Linked DNA regions of Cricetulus griseus. The main gene of each other region encodes a partner of the protein of the gene in region 4 in a complex. Links are inferred from orthologs where the notes say so. Each region holds a gene or a part of one and is shown on either strand. Other genes may lie near its edges. The genes, in order: Bud13, Sf3b5, Gpkow, Snrnp200, CUNH9orf78, Crnkl1 and Rbmx2.

Region 1 (3,606 bases), on a different chromosome or scaffold from region 4:
GACATGGTGGCACATGCCTTTAACCCCAGGACTTGGCAGGTAGATCTCCATGAGTTCAAGGCCAACCTGGTCTATAATAAGTGAGAGCCAGGTGAGCGCCAAGACTACAGAGAGACCCTGTCTCAAGGGGGGGGGGGGCACAATAATCATAAGTTTTAATGCAAAAGTATCAAAAGTTCTTTACATGTTTCAGACCCACATAACAGCCTTAAAGGAGCTAGCTTGTTCTTTCTGTCGCACCTCCCTTTTCTGCTGGTGATATGGCAGGCTGTACTTTGTTCCTGCACCCCAGCTAAACACATCACAATACACAAATTCAGAACCCAGTTGTCTATTATATTTACAAAAAGTTAAATCAATTCTCTCCTTCTGGTTTTTTTTTTTTTAGAAAATAACTGCTTTTCATTAAAAGTAACAGTAACTATATTAGCATATAGAAGCTTTACTATTTTATATAGTGAATAAGTGCTTTTAAAATATATTTTAATTTTTGGCTGGGCGTTGGTGGCACACACCTTTAATCCCAGCACTCGGGAGGCAGAGGCAGGCGGATTTCTGTGAGTTCGAGGCCAGCCTGGTCTCCAGAGCGAGTGCCAGGATAGGCTCCAAAGATACACAGAGAAACCCTGTCTCGGAAAAAAAATAATAATAATTTTAAATATAGTGACTATAAATATATAATCCACAAAACAAAAACTTCTTGGAATCCTCAACAGAATTTTAAAATTCTTTTAAAATTATCTATTTGTTCATACAGGTGCGTACACACACACCCACACCCACACCCACACTCAAATTAGTGTGTGGAGGAAAGAGAACAAGACTTGCACTCACATCATTAGGCTTGGCAACAAATGCCTTTACTCACAGAGCCAAAACACTAGCACAGAGCATAAAAGGTCCTGAGATTTAAAACTTTGGAAATCATGACACTAAACGCTAATGTTCAGTGTGGGCAAGGGAAGACCCTAGGCAAAAGCTGTCCTGACAGTCAGGAAGCTTGAGTATACAAGTGAGACACTAGTGAGTAACCAGATGAGGTGGCAGGGCTGAGAGATTACCAGGGACTTCCTCCTAGGACAGCAAAGAGAACTAATGTTGAAGACACAACTCAGAGAGGGCTCCAGCACACAAGCCTCACCTGTCCTCTAACCCTTAGAAAATACTAACCATGACTAATGTTTGAAGACGTGGTGCATGAGTTGGAGGTCAGCCTGGGTATGTAGTGAGACACTCTCAAAAACAAAGACCACAGGACACCACATCAAGCAGCATAAATATTGTATATAGTATAGTGATAAATGGTATTTTAAACGATATCAGATATCTGGAAAAAAAAACAACAAAAAAAAACAAAGACCAAAGGAAAGGTGGAAAGAAAAACAGAGAAGAAAAGTTAAGACCAGGGCAGAAGAAGGCTGGGCAGTGGTAGTGCAAAGCTTTAATCCCAGTACTCATAAGGCAGAGGCAGGCGGGTCTCTGTGAGTTTGATGCCAGCCTACAGATCGAGTTCTAGGACAGTCAAGGCTACAAAGAGAAACCCTGTCTCAAAAAAGAAAAAAAGAAAGAAAGAAAGAAAGAAAGAAAGAAAGAAAGAAAGAAAGAAAAGAAAGAAAGTCAGGCAGAAGAGAAGACAAAGCAAGAAAGCAAGAGGAATCACACCTACCTGTCCACTCCATCCCAGCGGTATCCAGGCCAGATATTGAATCTATTGGGAGGAGGTGCAGGACCACTGTATCGAGGTCTCACTAAAGACAGAAATGAGAAAAAAGAAATTAGCTACTGACATAATTTGATTCAGAGCTGGATGGCAATGGGAGAAAATTCTTCATGAGAGTGCCTACTGTTTTGAACCCAAACTTTCAACAGGCATTACAGTTGTGTGGGCAGCCTCCTCTGTGGGAAGCTATGTATATCCCTCTGACAACTCTCTCTTCAACCATCTCCAGCTCCAGCAACTCCAAGTCTCACCTTTCTTTTGCTTATTCTCCTTAGCCTTGTTCTTCTTAATGAAGTTGGCCATTGGGTCCCCCTCTCTTTCTTGTTCTCTCAACATCCGATCCAGATCTTCATCATCAATATAGCGGGCCAGAGGCTTCTGCATCTCCTTCATTGCATCCTCTACATTCTGCTGCTGTTGCCGGCTCTGGGCAAGCCTGGGCAAAAAAGCATCCTTGTTGACAACTTCCTCCTACACTGAGGGATCACAATGCTACTCTGGAGAACTCCCTCTTTGTAGCAGCAGAGGCTAACTAATAAGGTAAAAAGCCCAGAATCTCAACTGGTCTCTCAGGAGACTCAGCACCTCGCTCAGGGCGCCCTTACCCTTTCCCCCACTGGGCATATAGCTCATCTCTCTCTGAATCCTTCTCCGCTTTTCTCCTCTGCTCCAGGCGCTCCAGCTTCAAATTCCTCTTACGACCAGACTTGTCTCGGAATACAGTTTCAGCAAATTCAAACTGGGCTATGAAGGGAAATCACATTTTTAAGATAAACACCAGGCATCACAATCTAATAACACTCCAGTACTTGAAGCAGCTGCCTGAGATCTTGGTGCTGGTGAAAAGTCTGCAGTATGTCTAACATACACACACGGGAAGGGAAAGAAGCACTTGGACTATGCACAAAAACCAGAGCAGGAGCTGGGTAGTGGTGGTGCACACCTTTACTCCCAGCACTCGGGAGGCAGAGGCAGACGGATCTCTGTGAGTTCAAGACCAGCCTGGTCTACAGGAGCTAGTTCCAGAACAGGCTCCAAAGCTACACAGAGAAACCCTGTCTTAAAAAAACTTAAAAACAAAAATTAGAGCATAGACACGGAAGCAGTGAAAAGTTTCAGCTAGCAAATACAACATGCCACACTTAAAAACAGAAAAGACAGAGAGCTACATGAGCCAAACGAAGCCCCCGAATGCTCATGTTTGTACCTCCAAGGGTCGTGGTGTCTTGGTCCTGTTTTTTGAGTTCTTGATGCTCCCGCTGAACATCAGTTACCAACCCAGTTTTTGCTCCGGAATACATGTGTGCAGCCTGTGCAAGAGAAGAGGAATACATGTGAGCAGTCTGTGCAAGAGAAGAGGAATACATGTGTGTACAGCCTGTCCAAGAGAAGAGGCAACAGCCAATGTCAGTGAAACAGGAGGCAGCCAGCTGCATGTATGTCTGATCATCATCAATAATCAAACCAAAACCTCTGGTTTCATATTCTCATTATTGACCATAGGCTCACACCATAGGAGAGAAATCTCTAATCGCATGAAATACTATATACTATCAAATTTTAAAGTAAACACAAACACAAACACACAACACATAAAAGCAGGGGCTAAGAATGTGCATGTTTTCTTTCTCTTTTTAAGATAGGGTCCCAGCCAGGCAGAGGTGGTGCACGCCTTTAATCCCAGCACTCCAGAGGCAGAGGCAGGTGGATCTCTGTAAGGTCGAAGCCAGCCCAGTCTACAGAGCTAGTTCCATGACAGCCAGCCACAAAGAAACCCTGTCTCACAAAATAAATAAATACATAAAAGATAGGGTCCCATACAGTACAGGCTGGCCTTGAACTCACTTATGCACATTTCACAAAGAAGGAAGCTGAGGATTAAAGAA
Region 2 (2,661 bases), on a different chromosome or scaffold from region 4:
AATCTCATAGAGATCCACCTGCCTGGGCCTCCTGAGCGCTGGGATTAAAGGTGTGTGCCACCACTGCCTGAGGCATTCTTAATGGCACTGGAATTGCACTAATTTTTGATTTATTTCTTACTAACAGAATTTTCATGCAGATTCTACTTGTCTTAGTTGAAGTTTCTCTTGCTGTGACAGAACACTATAATTAAAAGCAACTCAGGGATGAAAGATTTATTTCATTTACTCTTCCGTATCACAGTTCATCATCTAAGGTAGGCAGGGCAGGAACCTGAAGGCAGGAGCCAATGCAGAGGCCATGGAGGGGTGCTGCTTAATGGCTTACTCTTCGTGGCTTTCTCAGTCTGTTTTCTTATTCAATTCAGGACTACCAGCCCAGGGGTGTCCCCACTGTAATAGGTTGGGCCCTCCCCTATTATCAGTCTCTTTGACTGAGATTGCTCTTTGTCCATTCATCAGATTTTTCTTTTAAAGAATACGATCTCCATCAAGCTATATAATATCCTCAAAGGATATCAGAAAAGAAGTACAGTATCTTTTTCTCAAGTAGTTTATACCTTTGTGAGGAGATACATAACCTCTAAGTTGAACATAAGGTGTAACCAGGCAGAAAAACAGAAGGAGAGAGTACTTGTCTTGAGACACAACTGACTTCCAGAAAATGATTGTAAGCAGCCTTAAAGTTAGGAGGTTGTTTGGTTGGAGGGCTCGGGCCCCTGGGTGGTGTGAGGAGTTGGAGCCTGGATTTTGATGTGGAAGACACCTGGTGTTGACACTCATCACCAAGCATTTAGGACCCAAAGAACTTTTCCCACTACCCAGATCCTAAGGGACAAAGCTGGGACCAAGGGCGGTCCGTGTGAGCTTCTAGGTACAAGAGATAGTTTTCCTGGTCACTTGTAGTCGTAATCGTTGGACACCATCCTACATTAGTCAGGCAAAAAAAAAAAAGAAGAAAAAAAAGGAAGGAAGGAAGGAAGGAAAGGAGGGAGGGAGGGAGGAGAAAGAAAGAAAGAAAGAAAGAAAGAAAGAAAGAAAGAAAGAAAGAAAGAAAGAAAGAAAGAAAGAAAGAAAGAAAGAAAGAAAGAAAGAAAGAAAGAAAGAGAGAGAGAGAGAGAAAGAAAAAGAAAACAAAAAACCAAACCAAAAGAAAAAAACACGCCAAATTCTTTGGACTACAAATCCCAGAATGCAACGCCGGAGTTAGAACGTGATCACCCAAGAGCCACTCAGCAGACCATCATGCAACGCTCTCCAAGTAGGCGGGCTCGCTGAGGGGACGGCCCAATGTTTCTTAGGCAACTCCAATGCCGCGGCAGGATTCACTTCCGCTTCCGCCTGGGAGAAGAGCGTCTGCGCAGGCGCCACAGTGGCGTCTTTCTCCCGCGCCTACACAGATAGAAGTTCCGTGTCGGGCCGGCAGCGGCGGCGGCGGCGTCTCTCAGGTTTGAACGCGGAGCGGGTAGCGTCGGGTCTGCGGCCTGATCTGGAAGCCTAGAGCGGAGCGGCGAGATGACGGACCGGTACACCATCCACAGCCAGCTGGAGCATCTGCAGTCCAAGTACATCGGTACGGGCCACGCCGACACCACCAAGTGGGAATGGCTTGTGAACCAGCACCGGGACTCCTACTGCTCCTACATGGGTCACTTCGACCTCCTCAACTACTTCGCCATCGCCGAGAACGAGAGCAAGGCCCGCGTGCGCTTCAACCTGATGGAGAAGATGCTGCAGCCCAGCGGGCCGCCGGCGGACAAGCCCGAGGAGAACTGAGGCGAGCGCTTCCCAGGCTCCCCCGCCGGCCAGCGGTGGGCCGGTCCTCCTTGCTCGGGCTTCTTCATCGTCTGTCACGCCTGGCCTGCTTACCTGTGGACGATTCCGAACAAGTCACCGAGAGACTGTCGGGACCCCCGGGAACTGTGCGGGAGGAGCGACCCTAGACCCGGCAAGCGAGGGAGAAGACGCCACGGGAGTGATGACGCGTTTCTAATGAGTCTGCCTTTCAGTAGTTGGTTGTCCTTCTTGCCATGTTTATAAAGTTTAGGATTTGTCCTATCTTTTGGTGTGGATTGCTGTGTTCCTTGGGTGGGGTCTGGGGAGGGTGCTGTGGACCAAGGTCTCAAGATGTTGCACGTTGCATCTGTTTTTCTTGAGAGTTAGTCTGTGTGTCTTCAGAAATGAAGAACGGATTTTTTTTTTTCATTCAGTGTTCACCAGAGCGTTTTCCAAAGGTTTGGGGGCATACATTATGCCAATTTGGAGAAAGGCTAAAATAGACCAGGGCTAGATGATGCAGGGAGATTGAGGAAGCTTGAAGAATTCGCAATTTTAAATACTATGCTTGTAATGCTAAGATATTGCGATGATGACATTTGAGAAAAGATTTTACGGAATCCAGAGAAAAACCGTGCAGAGCATGGGAAGTTGCTTACCATCTAATAGGGCATTCGTTGGTGTGTTTTAAGTTACTGAAGGAACACCAAAAAAGCAATGAGTCGCTGGGAGTGGCACACACCTCTAATCCCAGCACCCAGGAGGCAGAGGCTGAAGGATTTCTTGAGTTCAAGATCACATGAAAAAACCGGTAAGAGCCATTCACTGAGCGTTGTGGTACACGCCTTTAATCCTAGCACTCCAGTACTCTGTAGGCAGAGGCAG
Region 3 (4,168 bases), on a different chromosome or scaffold from region 4:
AAGAAACAGTATTATGCAAATGTTAATCTCATGTTTTTGATAATTTATAATATTGTTATGGAAAATCCCCAGGGTCATTTAGGTAAAAAAAAAATATATATGGGGGCTGGATGTGATGGCACATTCCTTTAATTTCTGCACTTAGGAGGCAGAAGCAGGCAAATGTCGGTGGGTTCTAGGCCACTCATTGCTTATAATGAGACCCTGTCTAAAAAGGGGAGAGGGAGGAATTTCAAAGAATATATATTCTGACCCTCCCAACCACCACCTGTTGTTAAGGCTGAACTTGCAACAACAGTCCTGCTCTCACCAAGAAAGAGAGAGAGGGAGAGAGAGGGTGGAAGGGAGGGAGGGAGGGAGGGATGGAAAGAGAGAGAGAGAGAGAGAGAGAGAGAGAGAGAGAGAGAGAGAGAGAGAGAGAAAGAAAGAAAGAAAGAAAGAAAGAAAGAAAGAAAGAAAGAAAGAAAGAAAGAAAGAGCTAGCACCCAGGCAAAGGGGTCCCAGCCTGGCAGTTCCCTGTCCTTTATGCCGAAGACCAGAAGACATTGCCTCATCCAAAAGCTCAGAAAACTGCAACATAGAAAGTATTCCAGGGCTGGAGAGATGGCTCAGAGGTGAAGAGCACCGGCTCCTCCTCCAGAGAACCCAGGTTCAATGCCCAGCATCCACATGGCAGCTCATATAGAGTTTGTCTTAGACTTGTGACAATTCCTCCTGCTTTGTAATTCCAGTTTCAAGAGCTCCTACACCCTCTCACAGACATACATGCAGGCAGAACACCAATGCACACAAAATAAAAATAAGTAAGCCGGGCGTGGTAGTGAACACTTTAAATTCCAGCCCGGCAGAGGCAGAGGCAGAGGCATTTTTTAAAGATTTATTTATTTATTGTGCATACAACATTCTGCTTCCATGTAGATATGCACACTAGAAGAGGGCACTAGACCTCATAATGGATGGTTGTGAGCCACCATGTGGTTGCTGGGAATTGAACTCAGGACCTCTGGAAGAACAGTCAGTGCTCTTAACCTCTGAACCATCTCTCCAGCCCGATTTTGTGTATATAAGCATTTTGCCTGCATTTATTTATGTGTGTCACCTGCGGAGTTCGGAAGACAGTGTCGGATCCCCTAGACCTGCATTACAAATGGTTGAAAACCTAGGGAGAATCAATCTGCCACCACGGTTATATCACTGAGAACTACATTTCCCAGAATGCGCGGCGCGGCGCGTTCCTATGACATTTCAAACCGTTTACCAGCGTGATCGGTTTTTCCCACGGCTTCAAGACCTGTCCTTGAGGCATTGCGTCTCGGCCGGCCCCTAGCGAATTGAGCTTAAACTAAACTTCCCAGCAAGCAGTGCGCTAGCCTGGGACTCGGGACAAGATGGCGGACCCAAACAGTGTGCCGCGGGCTGCCCCTTCAACGGCCCCGATTTCTTTCGGTTTCACTCGCACGTCTGCCCGGAGGCGACTGACAGACCCCAGAGATGGCACAGGACGGGCCTCTGAGGAGAAAGATTTCTTAACGACCGTGGAAGGAAGGGAGCTACAGAGGTGAAACGCTGGGTCTTTCACGTTTTGGAAATCGGTGCGGTGGGCGGAGGGCAGAATACGAGTTGTTTGCCCTGATGACAGTGATTTAGAAGGCCTCAAACACGGCCTCAAGAAGTTTATGGAGGCATCCGGGAGTGGTGGCAAATGTTTATTAATGTCAGGACCCGGGAGGTTGGCACCGGAGGATCAAGAGTTGAACGCTAGCCTGGGCTGTATGAGAGCCTATATTTAAAAAGAGAGAAAAATAATTAAAATTTAATTTATTATTAAATTTAATAATTTAAGGGCAAGGAGGAGGTTTGTTAGAGAGGTGGGTGAAAATGGCGCCTGATAACCAAAGGTATATATTCCTCAGAGAAAAAGTCATTGGGACTTGAGGACATGTGCGTTTTGAGAAAGGAAAAGGAGGGAGAATGACAAGACTTTTAGTGTCTCAACTGAAATAGTGGAAGCTTCTCCGATTTGGAGAATGCGGCAAATACAGGTTTGGGGAGGCCATCAGCAGCATAATTAAGAAACTGATCTGAAAGACCTAAGGGAGGGACTAATGGAAGACAGCTGTCCGGAAGGCTGTTTGCTAGCCTGAAACTGGGGAGAATCTCGACCGAAGATGGTGATTTGTAAGTCATTGTGGTTGAGAGTCCAGGAATGATTTCCATAAGACACATTTAAAGCTGAGGACACGAGGAGAGGTGATGCTTGCTTGTAATTTCAGCACTAAAAGGTTGCACCAAGAGGACAGAGTTTATAAGACCAGACTGGGCTACATAGTGAGATAACTGTTTCGAAAAGAAATGGGAGGACCTGCGGAAAAATAACTTGTGGAACATGGTCCTTCGGCTGGGTGTAGATATCTCCACTTTCTAACACTTGTACTTTCCTAACCTTTTCTCTCTGTCCCCACATCAGTGTGAACCCTCCAGAAGCCCCCAAGGAACTAGTCATCCCATTGATCCAGAATGGCTCTCGGAGGCAACCACTGGCCAAGAGCCCTAAGACATCCTCAGAAACTAAGACTGTATTAATGTCAGATGGTGTGCTGTCCCAGGCTGTGAAGGAGCTCATTGAGGGTAAGTGAAACCTCCCCCTTTGCTCTGCCCCAGTACAGGTAGACAAGGAGGAAGTTGGAAGGATAGAGTATGGCCTCATTGATCCTCCCATTCTTCCTTAGAATCCAAGAAGTCCCTGGAGGAGAGGGAGAATGCAGGTGTTGACCCCACGCTCACTATTCCCATGATCCAGAAAGGATGCAATCCCAGTGGGGAAGGAACAGACAGCGAACCTCAGGCTGAGACAGTGAGCTGCCCCTTTGCCATCCTCCCCCATCATTGCCTCTACCCCGTCTGGCTAGCCTCCTTGCACATAGCAGGGAAACTGTGCATGTGTGTCCCAGAGCCTTGCCAACTAGCCTTTCTCCCTTCCATCCTTATTAGAAGCTTTAACAAATAGATAGCAGGCTGTCCCAAAAAGTACTTGAATTCTGGTATTATCTGATAGAGGTGGACAGCAGAGTGGATGGGAAATACAAATGCTATCAGAGTACACACTGTTGGGAGGCAGAGGCAGGCAGATCTCTGTGAGTTCGACAACAGCCTGGTCTACAGAGTGAGTTCCAGGACAGCCTCCAAAGCCACAGAGAAACTCTCAGAAAAAAAGAAAGAAAGAGTACACACTCTTTGGAACCACTTTTGCTTGTTTCCTCTTTTTTTTCCTTCTTTCCTTGTTCTTTTTAAACGTGTAGTATGTAAAGAACTCTAAGGAAACCAGTGTGACTGGATTGGAATGAATGAGGGGTCAGGCCATAGATGAAGGCAGAGGTGACCAGATCAAAAGGGCCTTCTGAGCCACGGGGAGGACTTTTTCTTTTAGTGTGAGTGAAATGAGAGCTATGGGAAAATTCTGAGCTGACAAGGGTTGTAACAGGATCCCCTCTGGCTGCTGTGACCCAAATATGACTAATAGTGAAGGTAAGGAGGGAAGCAAGTAGCCTAAGTTCAGGATAGAGGCGGTAAGGACACTCAGAAGAGTGGCAGGAATGAAGCCTGGAAGGTTAGGGTCTGGTGAGACAAGAAAGAGATATGTCTCAGTACATTTTTGCTTTGTTTGTTTTTGTTGTTGTTTTTTGAGACAGGGTTTCTCTGTGTAGTTTTTGGAGCCTATCCTGGCACGCGCTCTGGAGACCAGGCCTCGAACTCACAGAGATCTGCCTGCCTCTGCCTCCCGAGTGCTGGGATTAAAGGCGTTCGCCACCAACGCCCCGCCAATAATGAAGTTTTTAGTCATAAATTTGTTGTAATACATCTTTCAACTGAACTATTCTCATCAGTCTTCAGATGTGCTTTGGGTTTTTTCTTTTTGAGACAGTTTTATGTAGTTCAAGCTGGCCTTGAATTCATTATGTTGCCAAGAATGACCTTGAACTTGTGGTCTTCGTTTCTCCACCAGTATCAATCAGGCTTTTTGTTCTCTCCACCCCACCCCTTTTTTGAGACAGGATCTCACTCTATATCCATGGTAGCTGTAAGTTTCCATGTGATTGCTGGGAACTGAACCCTGGTCCTTTGGAAGAGCCATCTCTACAGCTCCCTTGTTTTTTTTTTGTTTTTTTTT
Region 4 (4,190 bases):
ACTTTAAAAAAAAAAAAAAAAGAACAGAAAGAAAATCTGCAGCATCTCAGGCTTTGATCACATTCATCAACAAGATACAATGGCAATGTGCCAGTAATCCTGGCACTTGGAGAAACAACAGGACCATAAGTTCTAGGTTATTCTTGAATACACAGTGAGTTTGAGGTCAGCTTGAGCTACATGAGACCTTGTCTCACACAAACAAATAAAATAAAATTTAAAAAATAAGCTTTGATCCCAGCACTCAGGAGGCAGAGACAAGAGGATCTCTGAGTTTGAGGTCAGCCTGGTTTACAGAGTGAGTTACAGAACAGCCAAGGCTACACAGAGAAATCCTGTTTTGAAAAACCAAAAGATAAAAATTAAAGACTATAGGGAGCTGCTGAGGATTTAACACAGTGGTACCACATGCCCTTAAGCGTAGCACTCGGAAGACAGAGGCAGGTGGCAGAGGCAGGCAGATCTTTGTGAGTTAGAGACCAATCTGGTCTACAAGAGCTAGTTCCAGGACAGCCTCCAAAGCTACACAGAGAACCCCTGTCTTGAAAAACTTAAAAAAAAACAAAAAAAAAAAAAACAAAAACAAAAACAAAAACAAAAACAAAGCATGAGAGATCCTGGAGTCAGTCCCCAGAAGTGGGGGGGGGGGGATTAGGTAGATGCTTTTCAGAAGCAAAACAAACTTATACTTTCCACCAAGGCCAACAACTTAGGTTTGATCTCTGAGTCCCACACAGATGAAAGTTGTCCTGATTTCCACAAACAGAATAAATATTTGTAACTAATAATTTAACCAAAATTCTTGTGCATCACCCTTTCTCTTTCCAAACACAAGGCCTCATCCTCTGGTTCCAGCCTCACCTGGTCTCCAAGAGCAGCCTGGATAAAGCTGAGCAGCACCTCATAGGTCTCTCGCGTCTCCTTAGTTTTGGGCTTATAGATGATGCCCACCATTTCATCAATGCCCTCTGACAGCAGCGTATAACCTTTCATCTTGTTGATGTCATGCCGGTCCTCATCACGCTTTCTTCTCCTAATGAACACAGGGTGTGATGCTCAATGGGAGAACTTTGCGCCCCCAAGTCAAGTTTACCTTTTCTTTTCTTTTCTTTTCTTTTCTTTTCTTTTCTTTTTATAATTGCAATTAGACCAACTTTAAATTAGAAACCAGCTTCATTTACATGTCAATCCCAGTTCCCTCTCCCTCTCCTCCTCCCCTGCCCCCCACCCCCGAAGTTTACCTTTTCTATACATCTAATATGTGCAAGCAGGAACATGAATCAAAATAAGTAATTCCCACTTGACTTTAAGCATTTGAAGAAGTATTTATTTCTTTATCCTCATGAGGAGATAATATAATGGTATTTCAACTTTAAAAAACAAACAAACAAACAAAACCTTTTATTAGCCAGAGAGGCTAGGCTCCAGGGGAATCTACTTCTATGACTCCCAATAAACAGCTAGAAAAGAAGCCAGATTCTGAAAAGTGAAGGACCAAGGAATGTTTCTTCTCAAATTTAACAATTCTCTCAAGTCTCAACAACTCTCCCCAATTATAACCACTCAAACTAAACAGGGCCTGGGGACTGTTAAGACTTCACAGAAAGAAAAAGGAGAAAGAAAGCACAGTAGGAGAACATGCAACTTTTGAAATGGATCTATCAAGATGAAAAAACGGGAGAGACAACAAAACAAAAGCATCAGGAAGTGGACAACAACCGGAGGGAGTTAGGGTAAGAAGCTTTTAACAGTGGTAGTGGGGCTGAACTGCTGAGACAAGAGATTAACAAGGGTCTGGAAAATAGTTGGTGACGGGGCTGGGGAGAAGGTTCAAGTAGTTAGAAGCAATACTGCTTCTGCAGAGGATCAGAGTTCAGTTCCCAGCCCTCCAAACTGGGTAGCTCACAACTGCCTGAAACTCCAGCTCCTATGTTCCAAACTGTCTTCTGGCCTTCACAGGCATTTGGATGCATGTGCACATACTCACAAAAAAACACACATGCACATGATTAAAAATGAAACAGATTTTTAAGAAAAAAATAGCTTGAAGAAAATTAGCATCTACCTATGAATCAGAAACAAAAAGTACTAATAGATTTTTGTTCCATTTCATTGCACCCAAGTCCAAAGAAACTTTAAACCTTGAAGAGGTTTTCATTCTCTTGTGCAAACACCGCTGATCTTCCACAGGTACTTCATCAAAACTACTGCTCAAATGTTCAAGATGCGCTTTAGACTACAAGGAAAATATAACACCCCGTTGGTACCTACTTGGCCCGTCTTTCCTCCTGCATCTGTGGTTTGGTGCGTTGAGCCTTATCTCCCATCCGAGTTCCCTCCAACTTCCCAACCAGGGACAGAACCTCTCCTGTCGGTTCATCCCGGCGGGTCCGGTCAATAAGTGAGCGGTCAGCTTGGAGCACAAGATTTGAGTTCTGAAAAGATCATACTTAATCAAAACTTTAATATATAAATAGCTTCGGTTCCTGTTATCACAGTGACACCTGAAGATGGAAAAATACTGGGAAAAAGGAATAATCCCCTTAAGAAGAAACAGTATAATAAAACGCCAAGCACCGGACTGTCTGGTAAAGTGAACGATCAACGTTCCTAACAGTAGTCACAATAACCCACATTAGGTGAAGTGTTGAGCAGATTTGGGGATAACGAGTAGGAAGGGGCGGTTTGAGGAGACTGGGAAAAAACCTCCCGAGTCCTCACGCGCCCTAAACCCCACTAGAGTTATTCCGTCGTGTTTTAATCCAGCCTTCACCCAGATCAGATATTCCGTCCGTGTTTGTGGCTACCCACGGCCTCCCTCGCCCGCAGCCCTCCGCCGAGACTTCACGCACCGCCTTGTACTCGTACTGCAGACTGCGGGCAGTCACATCCGCCATGGCTGCCGATGCTCCGGGAACTCAGGGTTCCACTCTCCACACGCTGCGAACCGCCTCAACAAACCGCGCCGGCCCAGCAGGAACGACGCAGGACAAACGTGCGGGACAGAGAAAAGCAACGGACTCCCTTCCGCTTCCGGGACGTACGCTAAAAGTGATACTTTCCGGCGACTACGCACCGCCACTAGGTGGCGGTTGCAGAAGGTAATACATCCGGGTCAGGGATTCCGTGGACCTAGGAAACACGCTCCTGCGCAATATGGTTCCAAGGACCTATACGTACGCAGAGTCACGAAGCCACTTTTAGTGTGGTGTTAAAAGTCCCTTTCTGTAATACACTTTTGCTTTCTCAGTCCAGCGGTCCCGTCAGGCAGGCAGGCAGGCATGCTTGCAGGCAAACGGAAGCTTAGGAGCTCCGTTTATTAAGGATGAGAAAGTTGAAGGAGCAAGTTAACATGCTTCTAATAACTGACTGGATTTCTCTTCTGTATTGAGAAATTGGGGAAATGTTTGCTGCCCCCAACGCTTTTCCTCAAGAGTCAATCGCTGTGGCAGCTGACTGAAGGTGAAGGAAGAAATATTTGCACCCAATGATCTGTCACAGTCCATGTCAGGATTATAGATACGGATTATTTGTTCTCAATGTGGCACAAACGCTACATTTACTAAAGAAATATATGAAAAGTCTATTCAGATATACTATTCAGATGTATTAAGCAGTAATGATACATTTTATGAAATGGCGGTATCTAATCTTTTAATAATTCTCTACATTGAAAACAAAACAGCTATTTCTACTTTTCCCTTTAGGTTTAATAAGCACAACTGACCCTTAGGCCTGTGTCTTAATCCACTGAGCCATCTTGCTGGCAATTTTTATTGTTTAATCTGTTTATCATTACTTTCGTTTTATTCTATGTATATGGGTGTTTTGGCTACGTGTATATCTGTGTCTGAATGTATGTTTGTGTGTCATGTATGCGCAGAGCCCAAGAAGGCCAGGAGGAGGTATTAAATCCCCTGGGACTGGAGCTACAGATAGGTTAGGAGTTGCCTTGTGGGTGGTGGGGTTGAAACCTAGGTCCTCTGAAAAGAGCAGCCAAGTGTTCATAACCATTAAGCCATCACTCCAGCCCTTCTTTGGCTTTTGAGAAAAGATCTTTTGGAGTCCAGGTAGGCCACAAACTTGCTCTGAAGAGACTTCTCTGCATGCTATTATTATTGTTGTTATTATTATTATATTTATTATTTATGTTTATAATGCAAATAATATATAGAATATTTATATATTAT
Region 5 (4,093 bases), about 91 Mb from region 4:
TCTGTGGCTTTGGAGGCTGTCCTGGAACTAGGTCTTGTAGACCAGGCTGGTCTCTCACTCTGACTCCCAAGTGCTGAGATTAAAGGCATATGCCATCACCACCCAGCTTTTCTTACTTTGTATGTGACCATGTTTGTTAGTTTTGTGTGTGGACAGTGTATATACATGTTTGTGTGTATGCATGTGTGGTTGTGGAGGCAAGAGCCCAAAGTCAGGCATCTGCCTCAATCACTTTCCACCTTAAATATCTCAGACAGAGAACTTACTGATTTGGGTAGACTCACTGGCCAGTCAGCTCCAGGGCTCCAACTGTCTCTACTCCAAACCTTGCTAGGGTTACAGATGGATGCCATCATGTATAGCTTTTGTGCTGGGTACTAGGGGCCTGACTCAGGTCCCCAAACTTGTGCAGCAAGAACTTCAGCACTTTACCCACAAAGCCATTCCCCCAACTTATACTTTGAGAGAGGGTATCTTAGCTTTCTTATTCAGCACATCGTCCTAATCTGCCTCCCCAGTGCTCAGATTATAGGGATGTGTCACCATTCTCAGTTTTTCATGTGGGTGCCAGGAATCCAAACTTGGACCCTTGTGCTTGCACAGGAAGCACTCTGACTAGCCATCTCCCTGGCAGCATGGTTATACATTAGAGACACACTCACAGAAGAACAGCCCCAGAGAGGAGACAACACTCACCACCAGAGTAGTCTCCTCTTGAACCTTCTCTCCCACCAGCAGGGCAGCAGCACTGAGCAAAAGAAAACAGACAAAGAAATGACACAGAGACAAGAAGGAAATCAATCAATATGCTGGCTAGTTTGTTTTGTCAACTGAAACAAGCCAGAGTCACCTGGGAAGAGGAAACTTCAATTGAGAAAATGCCTCTATCATGTTGGCCTGTAGGCAAGCCTGAGGAGTATTTTCTTACTTGTGATTGGTGTGGGAGGGCCATTGTGTGCAGGGCTCCCTTCCCCCTGGGTATGTGGTCTTGTGTTGTATAAGACAGCTGAATGTAAACCTGGGAAGCAAGCCAGTAAGCAGTGCTCCTCCATGCTCTCTGCTACAGTTCCTGCCTCTGGGTTCCTGCCTTGTCTTCCCCCAATAACTGAATGTAATCAGAACCTTTCCTCTGCAAGTGGTTTTGTGTCATGGTCACAGCATAGGAAGCAATCTGGGACAATCAGGTTTGCAGGCTAGAGCACTGATGGAAGGGCATGCCCAAGAGTAGGTAGGAAAGAACACAGTGCTCAGCACACTGAGTGGGAGGGTGAAAGGCAAAGGAAGCAGCTGTGCATGTTCCTGCATAGCCATTTGATTTCATTTTAGCCTGGAAATCACAGTATAATTTGGGTTTTCCAGACAGGGTTTCTCTGTGTGGCTTTGGAGCCCATCCTGGGACTGGCTTTGTAGACCAGGCAGTCCTCAAACTCACAGAGATCTGACTGCCTCTGCCTCCCAGAGCACTGGGATTAAAGGTGCACATCACCACTGCCCGGCTCCCACAAAGTTCTTAAATATAGGGTCTATATTTAATTAAATATAGGGTCTATATAACCCAGGTTGCCCTCAAACTCCCAGGTTAGGATTAGAGGCATGCACCAACAACCACCACAGAAATCATTTATTTCTTAATTATACTTCTCTAATTTTTCTAAACTCTTATCTGTCAACACGTTGTCATTCACAATTCATCCGTGCAATTAAAAACTCCAATTAGGGCTGGAGAGATGGCTCAGAGATTAAAAGTACTGGCTGCTCTTCCACAGGTCCTGAGTTCAATTCCCAGCAACCACATGGTGGCTCATAACCATCTGCAATGGTGTGCAAGTATACATGCAGGCAGAACACTGTATAAGTAATAAATAAAATCTTGAAAAACAAAGCAAAACAAAAAAAACAACTCCAATTAGCAACAGGGTGGTGGTGATGGCTCATGCCTTTAATCCCAGCACTCAGGAGGCAGAGGCAGGCGGATCTCTGTGAGCTCGAGGCCAGCCTAGTCTACAGAGCAAGTTCCAGGACAGGCTCCAAAGCAATACAGAGAAACCCTGTCTGGAAAAACCAAAAAGCAATTAGTGACCTGGAGTAGACTCTGATACCACCAGGCTCAGGGCATGTGGCAGTTACACATTTGAAAAAAAACTGGTCCCCTCTTCGACCAGTGCAAGGTGTATGTCTAGAGAAAGAACTATGTCGAAGGAGATATTTGTAACTGAGACCCTAGCTGGAAGTATCTGTGTCATCAATAAATGACGCCACCCCCACCCCCATGGTACCCACCTCACCCCGTTTGGCCTCTTCCTTAAGTTCTGCACCTCTCGGGTTTCTTCAAGTTTTAACCTGGGGGGAAATGAATAAAAAGCAATGCACAGGCTGAGAGATCCTCTGCGGAACTCAAAGCTTAACTCAGTTCCGGGGACATCCGTGTCTCTCGGCCGAGTCCCTGGCACTGTGGATCACCGGCAGTCAGACCCATGCGACCCCGGAGCACCTTTCCGAGCTTCGGGACCGGGGAAATGTGGCCTTATCAGCAGGAGCCTCTGAAAGACAACAACCCTGGCTCCCGGTCAGTGGTGTCAGCGCAGTGCCGGCCGGTAGCCAGTCCCAAGGCTGTTTCCCTCTTCCTGGGCCGTGGAGGTCATGCCAAACACGTACCGAACCTCCTCTGATTCCTGCTCATCTTCCTCCGACTCCGAGTCAGCCCGCCGCCGGCGGAAAGTCTTCCCAGTGATCCGCATAGCGGCACCAGATCTTAGGAGCGGCGTTACCTGCCGCGTAGTGCCGGGAACCTCTTTCTCTTCCGGCGCGCAGAAGTGTCGTCAGAGGGCCGGCTGCATGCAGACCCGCCTCCGGGTGTCCAGGCCGCGCCCCAGCAGCATAGCCACCAGCTCCCAACTCCAAAAAGCAAGGGCAGGTACAGCCGCGTGGCCACGCCCCAGCGCCGAGACTGTGCCCTCCACCAGCAAGACAGTCTTCGAACCACGTGGCCACGCCCCAGCAGCACGGCCACTCCCCCTACTCCCAGCATGCATGGGCACTCAGTACTCGCACGGCCACGCCCCCAGCACGCACGGTCCCGCCCCCTAGTAGGCAGCGCCATGTGACCCCGCCCCGTCCTTGGCATAGGCTCTCTCGATTGGACAGCTGACGGTAGGGAGGCGGGGCACGACAGGCAGAGCCACAAGACTCTGCGCGGCGTCGCGGTGGGCGCGCTTGACTGACAGGCGGCGCGGTTGCGACGGCAGGTGAGTTCCGGACGGCTGATGCCTGGTGCGGTGGGCTGGGCCGCTAGAGCAGGGACGATCGCGCCGCCGCTGCGAACTGGGGAGGCCTGGCTTTGCGGGGCAGCCGCGATCTGGGGAGAGGTCCCCGCCGCCCACCCTCCCATCGACCGGCTCCTGTGTCCGCCCCAAGTCCCCACGGCCCTGGCTTCTCCTGAGCAGGCCGCACGTCGCTCGGAAGGCCAGCGCGAGGCCACTCGGGCTCTGGGCCTCAGATGTGCAAATTTATTTCTCACGGACAAAAGCTGAGCGCCTTGGCGGGGGTGAATATCAGTCCCGATACCAACTCCCCCGTACCAGGGTGGTCTGCTGCTACTGGTCCCTAGGAGGGATGCCACTGACGTTCAGAGGCCTCTCCAAGGGTGTGAAGCCGGGGACTGCCCTTCGAGAGCTCGGGGTGTCTCCTTTGGCCTGGAGGACTCGCTCTGTCCTACACACCTTCCACCGCCAAGATGTTGCGAGAGTAGTTAGCTTTCAAAGGTATCCATAAACACTTAGGAGATGGATAAGTGCATGCGTAATGGCTCACATGGGACTTATAGGGACTCCTTAATTACTAGTTTCCTCTGGAGCAAAGCACTTCTTAACTGTGGCAGGGCTAAGCATTCTCTCCTAAAAGTCTCCGGTCTAATCTCACGAAGTAGATGCAGTTGGGTCTGTCTTCCAACTGAGGAAGTTAGAGAAGGCTGAGGCTTAGAGAAGTAACCTGTGCTTCAAGTTACACAGCTGGGAAGGGGAGCTCAGGTGGGGGCATAGTTTTCCCAGCTGTGGGATTTGCATCAGGGACAGCGGGCCTCTATGGCATTCCAGTT
Region 6 (4,375 bases), about 18 Mb from region 4:
AGTTGTGGGGATACAAAACTCTCAAAGGAGTAATAAAAACGAGGTTAAAAAAAAAAAGATGGCCAGATGGTGGTGGCAAAGGCCTTTAATCCCAGCACTGGGAAGCAGAGGATCTCTGTAATTCAAGGCCAGCCTGGTATACAGAGTGAGTTCCAGGACAGCCACAGTTGTTACAAAGAGAAACTCTGTCTCTCAGAAAACCAAAACCAAACCAAACCAAAACAGGTGAGTAGGCAGGCGGATCTCTGTGAGAGGCAGGCAGATCTCTGTGAGTCCGAGGCCAGTCTGGTCTCCAGAGTGAGTGCCAGGATAGGCTCCAAAGCTACACAGAGAAACCCTGTCTCGAAAAACAAACAACAACAACAACAAAAACCAGATGAGTATTGACAGATGTATGCTGGGGATGGGGGGATGAAAAGGTGGTACCCAGGAGATTATGGATGCTTGGAACTCTGCAGATTATTCAAACATCAGGTACAGACTGCTTTGCCTTTGTCCTAAACAGTAGACTGTACAAGGGTGAACTGTATGAAACATAGTCACCTTTAACTGACAATGTGTTGATGAAAATTCACCGATGCTGACAATGAACCTCCCTGGTGGGAAATGGATAGTGGAGAGCTCTTTGGAGGTGGGCAAGCAGGGAGCAGGGAAATCTCACCCTCCCTTGAATTTTACTTTCAACCCCAAATTTCTTAAATTTAAAAAATTCTCTTAACTATATGCCCAATCATTCTGTTTTGAAGGTACATCAGATATTATACTTACTAACATCTAGTGAGCACTTTACATAGGCTTTTCAATCTTTTTTTTTGGTTTTTCGAGACAGGGTTTCTCTGTGGCTTTGGAGGCCGTCCTGGAACTAGCTCTTGTAGACCAGGCTGGTCTCGAACTCACAGAGATCCTCCTGCTTCTGCCTCCCGAGTGCTGGGATTAAAGGCGTGCGCCACCACTGCCCGGCAGGCTTTTCAATCTTAAGGAAATAGTTATTTCTATCTTTTTATCGCCAAAGGGCATTAAGGATAACGGAATTGAAATAATGAAAACAAATTCACACACTAAAAATGTACACATCAGTTTCTGACCATAGGGTTAGGTGTTTTGCTACTGACGTATTTCCATCTTTCCTTAACATCTGGTTCCAAAACTACCTCTTTTTATTTAAAAATCCACGTTTCAAAGCTTGGCCCAATAGCGGAGAAGCCAGAGACAGGGTTGGAGGCGGAGGTAGTGGGGTTGGACTACAAAGCCCAGCATGCACCGCTGCTCCGGCAGCTGCTAGCCGGCTGTGGTTTCCTTCGTCGCTCTTCCCTCCTCCACCGAGTTTCCACATCCGAGATGGGCTCCCACGTCCCTCGCAGGTGCCACTGCCACAGATGCACGCATCCCGAAGACAGATCTGGCTACGCCCTCGCCTCCCGGGCCCTGCGACCCTGCGGCGCAGCCCACGATACCCACCTCACCGGCAGCTCCTGCACGCCGTGTGGCTCCACAGAGGACGCGCACACGGTTGCTACGGAAACGACGTGACGTTTCGCCCGACTCGTGCGGCGGTCAAAGAGCGTCTTGCGACTTCCGCTTCCGGTTCCGGGATCTAGTTTGTTGTGGGCAGGTTCTCCGGTGTGGGCTGGTTCTCGAAGCCGATTTTTGAGGTTCAGGAGTGAGTCGGAGTTGCTCCGGTCCAGCGGCTGCAGACATGGCGGCCTCTACGGCGGCCGGGAAGCAGCGGATTCCCAAAGTGGCCAAGGTAGGCGACCGCGAAGGGCCCCAAGCAGAGCATCTGTGGTGTGGTGCACTGGAGACTCGGGGCAGCGAGCTCTTTGCCTGCCTGGGTCGGTGGCGTGGCGCGGGGGTCTTGTCACTCCGAGCTCGTCTCGTGTCTGCCCAGCCTTCGTTCTAGGATGGTGTTTTTGTAACGCGGGTGACCAGTTCGGTTAAGCAAACTCTTAGCTTTGCTAGGCTCTGGGGACCGCCCCCCCCCCAACACACACACACTGCTGGAGTAAAACAAGAGGAAGGGCGAAATGGCAAGTTTGATGGAGGTACTCAGGCACCGTAGACCATGCCATGGGCAAGAACCAGAGGGTTGTCAGTAAACTTGAAGGTAAACTTTGTGGAGGAAGCTGAAACTTGAAAGCTGCGCGAAAGTTGGACAGTGGAGGGGATGGGAGGAATGGGCTCTGTGCAATGGCATAATTTAAGTTAAACGGTAGATTATTATATTTCCAACGGTGACTAATATTTCACCAATGCTTGATAAGTGGCAAGTCGTGCACTTTACCTTTACGTATGGTCTTCTCTTGTCTGATTCTTATACGTGGCCTTTTTATTCTGAGACAAGTTCTCATTTCCACATGTAATTATTGTAAAAGTCTAATGTGGGAGCTTTTTTCCCATCCTGAGTCATAAAAGCCAGGGTGTGCTGGCTAGGTTTTTTGCCACCTTGGCATAAGCAACAGTTATCTGCGGAGAGGAACCTCAGCTGATAAAATTCCTCCATCCGATTGCTTGTGGGCAAGTCTGTAAGGCATTTTCTTGGCTAATGATAGATGTGAAGGGCCCAGTTTTCTCAGGGAGTGCTACACCTGGGCAGGTGGTCCTCAGTACTGTAAGAAAGCAGGCTGAGCAATCAATCCAGTGGGCAGTGTTCCTAAATGGCTTCTGTATCCCTTCCTGCCCCAACTTCCCTTCATGATGGGCTGTGATTCAGTTGTGTAAGCCAAATAAACTCTTTCCTTCCAAGTGCTTTTTTTTGGTGATGTTTAATCACAGCAGTAAAAAAGCAAATTAGAACAGTATTCTTGCACTTAAGGTCCATCTAAATCTGAACACGCTTGGCTTGTACCTACTGTGTTGAACAACAGAGCTGTGTGTGCTCAAGAAGTTTACATGTTAATGACTGGAACTTAATAAGTTACAGTTGACTTAAAATGTCATGGGAACGCCAACTTGTCCACTAAAGGGGTTAAAATAAGTAGGGGAATTCTGTAAACAGGTTATAACGCTAGAGAGTAGTACTTATTTTACTCTTCTAACAGGGAAAAATGCTGCTATTTTGTCAGCTTTTCCTTTTGAGATTTTCACTATGGACTTGTTATCATAGATGTCATACATTAGATAGAAAATGCAGGATGCCCCACCTCCACCCTCCTTCTGTCTCCTGGAGAATTGAGCATGTCATTCAAAGAGGTCAGGTTGTCCTCATACTTACAAAGTTCACATCCTGGAAAATGTTCGTGGGTTTTCAAATCTTGTGTGGAGAACACTACCCAAAATAGAAATGTCTTTTTTTTTTTTTTTTTCCTTAAAAGGTGAAAAACAAAGCGCCAGCCGAAGTACAGATAACTGCTGAGCAGCTCTTAAGAGAGGCTAAAGAAAGAGAACTCGAGCTCCTCCCACCTCCGCCTCAGCAGAAGATCACAGATGAAGAAGAACTAAACGATTACAAGCTACGAAAAAGGAAGGTGAGTCTGTTGGGAGGGCACCGAGCATACCTGTCCATGTCACCACTCACAGTAGGAGCCAGGGCCCAGGAGAGAACTCAGAGAGAGCCCATGTGATTTGACCTCAGGCTAATATTTGGGATTATCTAATCCACTAATATTATGGAAGTTAATGTCAAATTCTGTGAATTACTGAGAGCACTTGAAGGTAATGTTAAAAATTGTTTTCTTCTTAGGAATGAGAGTAGAGTATATTAACGTACTAGTTGTTGTTATGGGCAACAGCAAAAACTACCAATAATTCTTCCAGTAGTTCATTACATCTACAGTTTTTTTGTTGTCTCCATAAACTTTAGAGATTGTATAAATAGTGATATTTATAGTGATAATAATTATAAGATAGTGATTTGTAACCATCTGTAGTGAGCTTCGTTTCTCAGCATCCAGGATATAATTTCTCTTAAAAAGAATGAAATGAGTGACTTTTATTGCAAGGCAAAAGGCGAAGTCATTTTTGCTTTAATATACTACCCTACCCCCATTTTGCCTTTCAGACTTTTGAAGATAACATAAGAAAAAATAGGACTGTGATTAGTAACTGGATAAAATACGCACAATGGGAAGAAAGTCTAAAGGAAATTCAAAGGTAAAATTGCCATGTGTAGTATTTGCATATAAAATAGTATCAACTGTCCTGTGAAAAAGTAGGAAAAGTCAAGCATTGGACTGTACTGTGTTTGAACCTCCCAGCTTCTGTTCTGTGGCATCTTCACATTCTTCTGCGGGTGCTGAGGACACTGGGAAGGACAGCCACGGAGTATCGCAGGAGGTTCTGTGTGTGTGTCTTGCCACTAGTACCCCTGTAACTAAAGAAGCAGGGTTTTATCTGTCTTCTCTGTGTTCATGTTTCAAAAATAGTGTTGTGTTGAACT
Region 7 (4,369 bases), on a different chromosome or scaffold from region 4:
GTTCACTATCCATAGTCATCAGGAAAATGAAAATTACAAATAATGAAACAAAATTTAAATAAGAAATAGAAATTACTACTTTGAGATACCACCATGAGATGTCACTGTCAGAGTGGCTATGGTCAATCAATCTGAAAACAAATGTTGGGGAGGATGTGGAGAGAAAAGAACCTTCATTCTCTGGTGGGGGTGGGTGAAAACCAATACAGCCATTGTGGAAATCAATCTGGAGAGTTTTCAAAAAACTAAAACTAGAACTACCATACGACCCTAATATTTCACTCCTGGGCTTATATCCAGAGAACTCCCTGTCATAGAGATATTTGCATCCTCATGTTTATTACTTCTTTATTCACTATAGTAAATAATTAGAATCAGCCTAACTGTCCATCAACATAAGAATAGGTAATGAAAATTTGGCATATATGAAAGGTGGCAAACTATTCAACTATCAAGAAAAAATAAAATCACAAAATTTGTAGAAAAATGGATGCGATTAGAGTGTATTAAGTGAGGTCATACAATCTCAGAAAAACTCTGCATGTTTCCCCCTTATATGCAGAATTTAGCTAACAATATACACATATACGTGAACAAATGTACATGTGAGTGCCATGTAACATGAAGAAAAAAGAACAAGAAAGGCTAAATATTAGGTGAGGATGGACTGAATGCAAGTAAAAGGGGATATAAATCAAATTCTTATAGCTCTAATGATATCATATTTTTTGGTTTTGTTGGTGGACAAGTGAATAAAAATATATTTGATAGTGACAGCCTAAAATCCAATGTGAAGTTCCACAGCTTCTGTTCTCAATGCTATTCTAACAGTATAGAAGTCCATTTGAGTCTTTGGGTCTGGTTAATTTCAGTGTTTAACTTGCAATCGTTTTTGAAATAATGAAGTTTAAAATAAAAAAAAAATAAAGTCAGTTAATCCAGTAGGGCGTGTTGATCACGAGACAGGGTTTCTCTGTAGCTTTGGAGCCTGTCCTGGCACTCGCTCTGGAGACCAGGCTGGTCTCGAACTCACGGAGATCCGCCTGCCTCTGCCTCCCGAGTGCTGGGATAAAAGGCGTGCGTCACCAAGGCCCGGCGTAAGACCACATTTCTTACGTAAATCTGTGGGTATTTAATTGGGTCTGTAGAGGCACACTGGTCCGTCTTTAATATTCGAGCGGGGAAACAATTCTCATAGCTATTTTCTTTACTTTTCTACTGTTAAATCCCAAACAGGGAGGCTTTGAGGGACTATTTTTGAGCAATTGCCATGGAGGGAAAGAACAGGGCTTTAGATTGAGAGAACAGGGAGTTTCGTCACCCTATCAGACACACTACTTCATTCAGAAAACGTTTAAAGCTAAATCAAACAAAAACTATCCAGAAGCTGAAGGTCCCTTAAAACCCCGGACCCCGCCCCTGGTCTACGTCACTAGGGAACTAGTTCCCTGACTAACTGACTGGAGAACTACTTCGCCACAGGAGCAAAGGGCACTAAGCGCGAGAAAGGCTTCCACGCTACTGCGCATGCGCCAAGTCTTAACGTGCCGGAGCGGAAGTTCCAGCGGAAGTTCCGCCTCGAGTTCGGCCGCCTCCAATCTGAGCTGGGTGATCGGTTGTGCCCGCCCTTCGTCGCCTCACCCGGAAGCTCATTTCTTGAGAGAAGAGCGCGAAGGCGCGAATATGAAGTAAGGGCTTCGTTTTTTTCGTCGGGAAGGGGGAGTGGGTTGCGGACAGTTGCCCACAAACGGTGACGGGTCCTCGCCGGGGCGGTGGGGCCTTCAGGCCTCGGGGCGGGAGAAGAAGGCAGGCTGGGAGGAAACGAACTTTTAACGAAGTCTTCTCCTCCCGCGCAGCCCTTTAACTAAGGTGAAGCTGATCAACGAACTGAATGAGCGAGAGGCTCAACTCGGGGTGGCGGAAAAGGTGTCTTGGCACTCGGAATACAAGGACAGCGCCTGGATCTTTCTTGGTGAGGGCCACAGTTTTCTCTAGCAGTGCCTTTCGGAGTCGCTGCGACCCACCCCCCTCCCGCTCCGGTTACTTAGAGCCCCTGCTGACCACGCTTGTCACCCACACAGCTTGTCTGCCCACAGTCCGTTTTTTATTCTCTTTTACTCGTCCTTTTCCAGTTATCTTTTCTGATAACCAGTGCTTTTTTTTTCTTTTTTTTTTTTTTTTTTTTTTTTTTTTTTGGTTTTTCGACACAGGGTTTCTCCCTGACTTTGGGGGCTATCCTGGAACTTGCTCTGGAGACCAGGTTGGTCTCGAACTCACAGAGACCCGCCTGCCTCTGCCTCCCGAGTGCTGGGATTAAAGGGGATTAAAGGTCTCGCGCCACCAGCGCCCGGCTTAGCCAGTGCTTCTTAGAATTGGTATTTACCATTCATTGCACTTAAAGGCTTTCCACTTAGCTGCCCAGAGACAGTTAACTCCACAGCCAACACATTACGAGGCCAAAGAAAGTGCGGTGCGGACAGGTGACTAGAGTTCTTTAAGGTTACATACTACATACTGCAGCACTATGAGATTAGTGGTCATTATTTTCATTTTTACTGTCTGCCCCTCCGCAAAACTATTTTCTCCTGTGATTGACTTTTGCTTCTAGTACTTTGCTGATTGTTGGGTTCCTGGACAGACAGTAGCCATCTGGAAAATATTTCGTGTGGACTCCTCACTCAAAATCAGCTTTACTCCTGCTTAAAATTTAGAATGTCATCTGAAAAGGTCGCGGTATCTAGGCGTGTTCATTAAGGGAAAGCTATACACCTGGTGAAAATACAGTCCACATTCCACTCTTGGTCCTGGGTGGATATGATGGGACATTTTAAGCAAACCTAACTGCCACATACTAGTGTGTCCCTTCCTTAAGACTTAATAAAGTTGGCCAGGAGTCACCTGTCAGGAAAGCTCATTCACCTGAAGACATGCTGAGGACATGGAAGGAAAATGATCCCCTTAGTGAAGCAATGTCCCGCAGGAGTTCCTCACTGCACTTATTACCTATTGCTGTTACATCTGTCTGCTGTTCTGACATCTAACTTATCCATCCCCTCCCTTTCTAGCCCTTCTTTGAATATTGTCTGAAATCCTGAGCATGCTTGCCCTAACACTCTGGACTTTTTCTTATTTCAAGTCTACAGGCTCTCCCGTTCCCTTGCAGCTGTTTCTTAGCCGCCATTTTTGAGCATGCCTGCCTGCATGGCCTTCTGATTAACTACGTATTTCTTCGTCTTGTCCATCTCCCTCCTCCCAGTAGCTGGTAAATTTTACAACTCACCTCCCCATCAGCTCTCTCTCAAATGCTAATAAAATGGATCTCAGGCTTCCTCAGTCTGTTTTAAAATTACTGACAAGACTAAGAGCCTACAAAGGGGAACTCTTAATATCTCTGGGAACAATATTACTATCCTTTGTTCACTTTATGTCACAACCAATAATCCTGCAGTTTGACTTTTGAAAGAGGCTATTTCACTAGATATTGTGTTAAGCATTTTATATGCACCGTTTTATTTTGTGTTTATAACATTCTTGTGAGGCAAATATACTGATAGCCCCTTTTTACACAGGAGGTAAAAAACATGGAAGGCAAATAATTTCCTGTGACTTGCCTAACAGTTTTCTTTAAAATTCTTAGTTTACACATAGGTGAGCATAACAATAGCATATTTGAACTCAATGTTTGTGAAATCTGAGTCTTGTGCAGGAAATTTTCTGTTTTATAGGAGTTTGGATGTGAGGACTGAATGAGATTAATTTGGAAGACAGGCGTTGGTGGCACATGCCTTTAATCCCAGCACTCGGGAGGCAGAGGCAGGTGAATCTCTGTGAGTTTGAGGCCAGCCTGGTCTCCAGAGCGAGTGGCAGGATGGGCTCCAAAACTACACAGAGAAACCCTCTCTCAAAAAACCAAAAAAAAAATTAATTTGGTAAGTGGTAACCCCTTTCCACTTAGACTTAATCACTTTTATTCCTGTTTTTGGAGACAATCTCATTTTGTAGTTCTGGCTGTCCTGGAACACACTCTGTAGACCAGGCTTGCCTAAAACTCACAGAGATCCAAGAGTTAATTGCTTTTCTGCTGGACTGTTGTCACTTTTCATCCTCTGTCATTGCATTAGACTGATTTTTGTGAGTTCAGGGCTTACTCACTCTGCACCTCCAGTATCTGGCCCAGTGCATAATATGCAGTAAACACTTGATTAATGTTTGCTGACCTGAACTGTGCTTTGTTTTCTTCTAGGAGGGCTTCCTTATGAACTGACAGAAGGAGACATCATCTGTGTGTTCTCACAGTAAGTCCTCTTTCATTTCCTACCTTCTGGGTGCATAGAGATGTTTGCTTCTGTAGTTTATTTTTGTAAGGCAA

Evidence for each region.
Region 1: Snrnp200 (region 4) and Bud13 share a complex: the UniProt entries of both Homo sapiens proteins name them as parts of the minor spliceosome. The link is inferred for Cricetulus griseus from reciprocal best matches to the Homo sapiens genes SNRNP200 and BUD13.
Region 2: Snrnp200 (region 4) and Sf3b5 share a complex: the UniProt entries of both Homo sapiens proteins name them as parts of the minor spliceosome. The link is inferred for Cricetulus griseus from reciprocal best matches to the Homo sapiens genes SNRNP200 and SF3B5.
Region 3: Snrnp200 (region 4) and Gpkow share a complex: the UniProt entries of both Homo sapiens proteins name them as parts of the minor spliceosome. The link is inferred for Cricetulus griseus from reciprocal best matches to the Homo sapiens genes SNRNP200 and GPKOW.
Region 5: the proteins of Snrnp200 (region 4) and CUNH9orf78 are in contact, whole or in part, in a cryo-EM structure (PDB 7OS2), measured with the Homo sapiens proteins. The link is inferred for Cricetulus griseus from reciprocal best matches to the Homo sapiens genes SNRNP200 and C9orf78. Residues at the interface, in NP_054733.2 of Homo sapiens: Val1188, His1189, Leu1190, Gln1191, Glu1201, Pro1283, Ser1285, Arg1287, His1288, Leu1289, Asp1729, His1730, Asn1769, Tyr1770, Asn1772, Gln1774, Gly1775, His1780, His1784, Leu1788, Gln1791, Asp1795, Gln1798, Ser1799, Tyr1826, Thr1827, Glu1830, Leu1831, Met1834, Ser1835; in NP_057604.1 of Homo sapiens: Arg5, Lys6, Ile7, Phe8, Arg9, Arg10, Arg11, Glu16, Ser17, Glu19, Glu21, Asp23, Ser24, Glu25, Val27, Arg28, Lys30, Leu31, Thr34, Arg35, Val37, Gln38, Arg41, Arg43, Pro44, Asn45, Gly46, Val47, Ser48, Ala49.
Region 6: Snrnp200 (region 4) and Crnkl1 share a complex: the UniProt entries of both Homo sapiens proteins name them as parts of the minor spliceosome. The link is inferred for Cricetulus griseus from reciprocal best matches to the Homo sapiens genes SNRNP200 and CRNKL1.
Region 7: Snrnp200 (region 4) and Rbmx2 share a complex: the UniProt entries of both Homo sapiens proteins name them as parts of the minor spliceosome. The link is inferred for Cricetulus griseus from reciprocal best matches to the Homo sapiens genes SNRNP200 and RBMX2.

The regions. Positions count from the first base shown.
Region 1 is NC_048597.1:158,032,401-158,036,006, reverse strand, and holds part of Bud13 (BUD13 homolog), read right to left. Parts: intron 3,031-3,606; coding exon 2,928-3,030; intron 2,465-2,927; coding exon 2,326-2,464; intron 2,157-2,325; coding exon 1,972-2,156; intron 1,749-1,971; coding exon 1,667-1,748; intron 1-1,666. UniProt on the Homo sapiens protein: Involved in pre-mRNA splicing as component of the activated spliceosome. As a component of the minor spliceosome, involved in the splicing of U12-type introns in pre-mRNAs.
Region 2 is NC_048595.1:275,868,311-275,870,971, reverse strand, and holds Sf3b5 (splicing factor 3B subunit 5), read left to right. Parts: upstream 1-1,366; 5' UTR 1,367-1,515; coding exon 1,516-1,776; 3' UTR 1,777-2,060; downstream 2,061-2,661. UniProt on the Homo sapiens protein: Component of the 17S U2 SnRNP complex of the spliceosome, a large ribonucleoprotein complex that removes introns from transcribed pre-mRNAs.
Region 3 is NC_048604.1:114,159,060-114,163,227, forward strand, and holds the start of Gpkow (G-patch domain and KOW motifs-containing protein), read left to right. Parts: upstream 1-1,306; 5' UTR 1,307-1,388; coding exon 1,389-1,558; intron 1,559-2,467; coding exon 2,468-2,628; intron 2,629-2,729; coding exon 2,730-2,854; intron 2,855-4,168. UniProt on the Homo sapiens protein: RNA-binding protein involved in pre-mRNA splicing. As a component of the minor spliceosome, involved in the splicing of U12-type introns in pre-mRNAs.
Region 4 is NC_048599.1:51,367,606-51,371,795, forward strand, and holds the start of Snrnp200 (U5 small nuclear ribonucleoprotein 200 kDa helicase), read right to left. Parts: upstream 2,898-4,190; coding exon 2,853-2,897; intron 2,436-2,852; coding exon 2,272-2,435; intron 1,034-2,271; coding exon 862-1,033; intron 1-861. UniProt on the Homo sapiens protein: Catalyzes the ATP-dependent unwinding of U4/U6 RNA duplices, an essential step in the assembly of a catalytically active spliceosome. Plays a role in pre-mRNA splicing as a core component of precatalytic, catalytic and postcatalytic spliceosomal complexes.
Region 5 is NC_048599.1:142,695,106-142,699,198, forward strand, and holds the start of CUNH9orf78 (telomere length and silencing protein 1 homolog), read right to left. Parts: upstream 2,823-4,093; 5' UTR 2,739-2,822; coding exon 2,656-2,738; intron 2,341-2,655; coding exon 2,281-2,340; intron 749-2,280; coding exon 697-748; intron 1-696. UniProt on the Homo sapiens protein: Plays a role in pre-mRNA splicing by promoting usage of the upstream 3'-splice site at alternative NAGNAG splice sites; these are sites featuring alternative acceptor motifs separated by only a few nucleotides. May also modulate exon inclusion events.
Region 6 is NC_048599.1:33,081,224-33,085,598, forward strand, and holds the start of Crnkl1 (crooked neck-like protein 1), read left to right. Parts: upstream 1-1,572; 5' UTR 1,573-1,696; coding exon 1,697-1,747; intron 1,748-3,311; coding exon 3,312-3,464; intron 3,465-3,997; coding exon 3,998-4,089; intron 4,090-4,375. UniProt on the Homo sapiens protein: Involved in pre-mRNA splicing process. As a component of the minor spliceosome, involved in the splicing of U12-type introns in pre-mRNAs.
Region 7 is NC_048604.1:20,792,254-20,796,622, reverse strand, and holds the start of Rbmx2 (RNA-binding motif protein, X-linked 2), read left to right. Parts: upstream 1-1,488; 5' UTR 1,489-1,527; coding exon 1,528-1,688; intron 1,689-1,856; coding exon 1,857-1,972; intron 1,973-4,243; coding exon 4,244-4,295; intron 4,296-4,369. UniProt on the Homo sapiens protein: Involved in pre-mRNA splicing as component of the activated spliceosome. As a component of the minor spliceosome, involved in the splicing of U12-type introns in pre-mRNAs.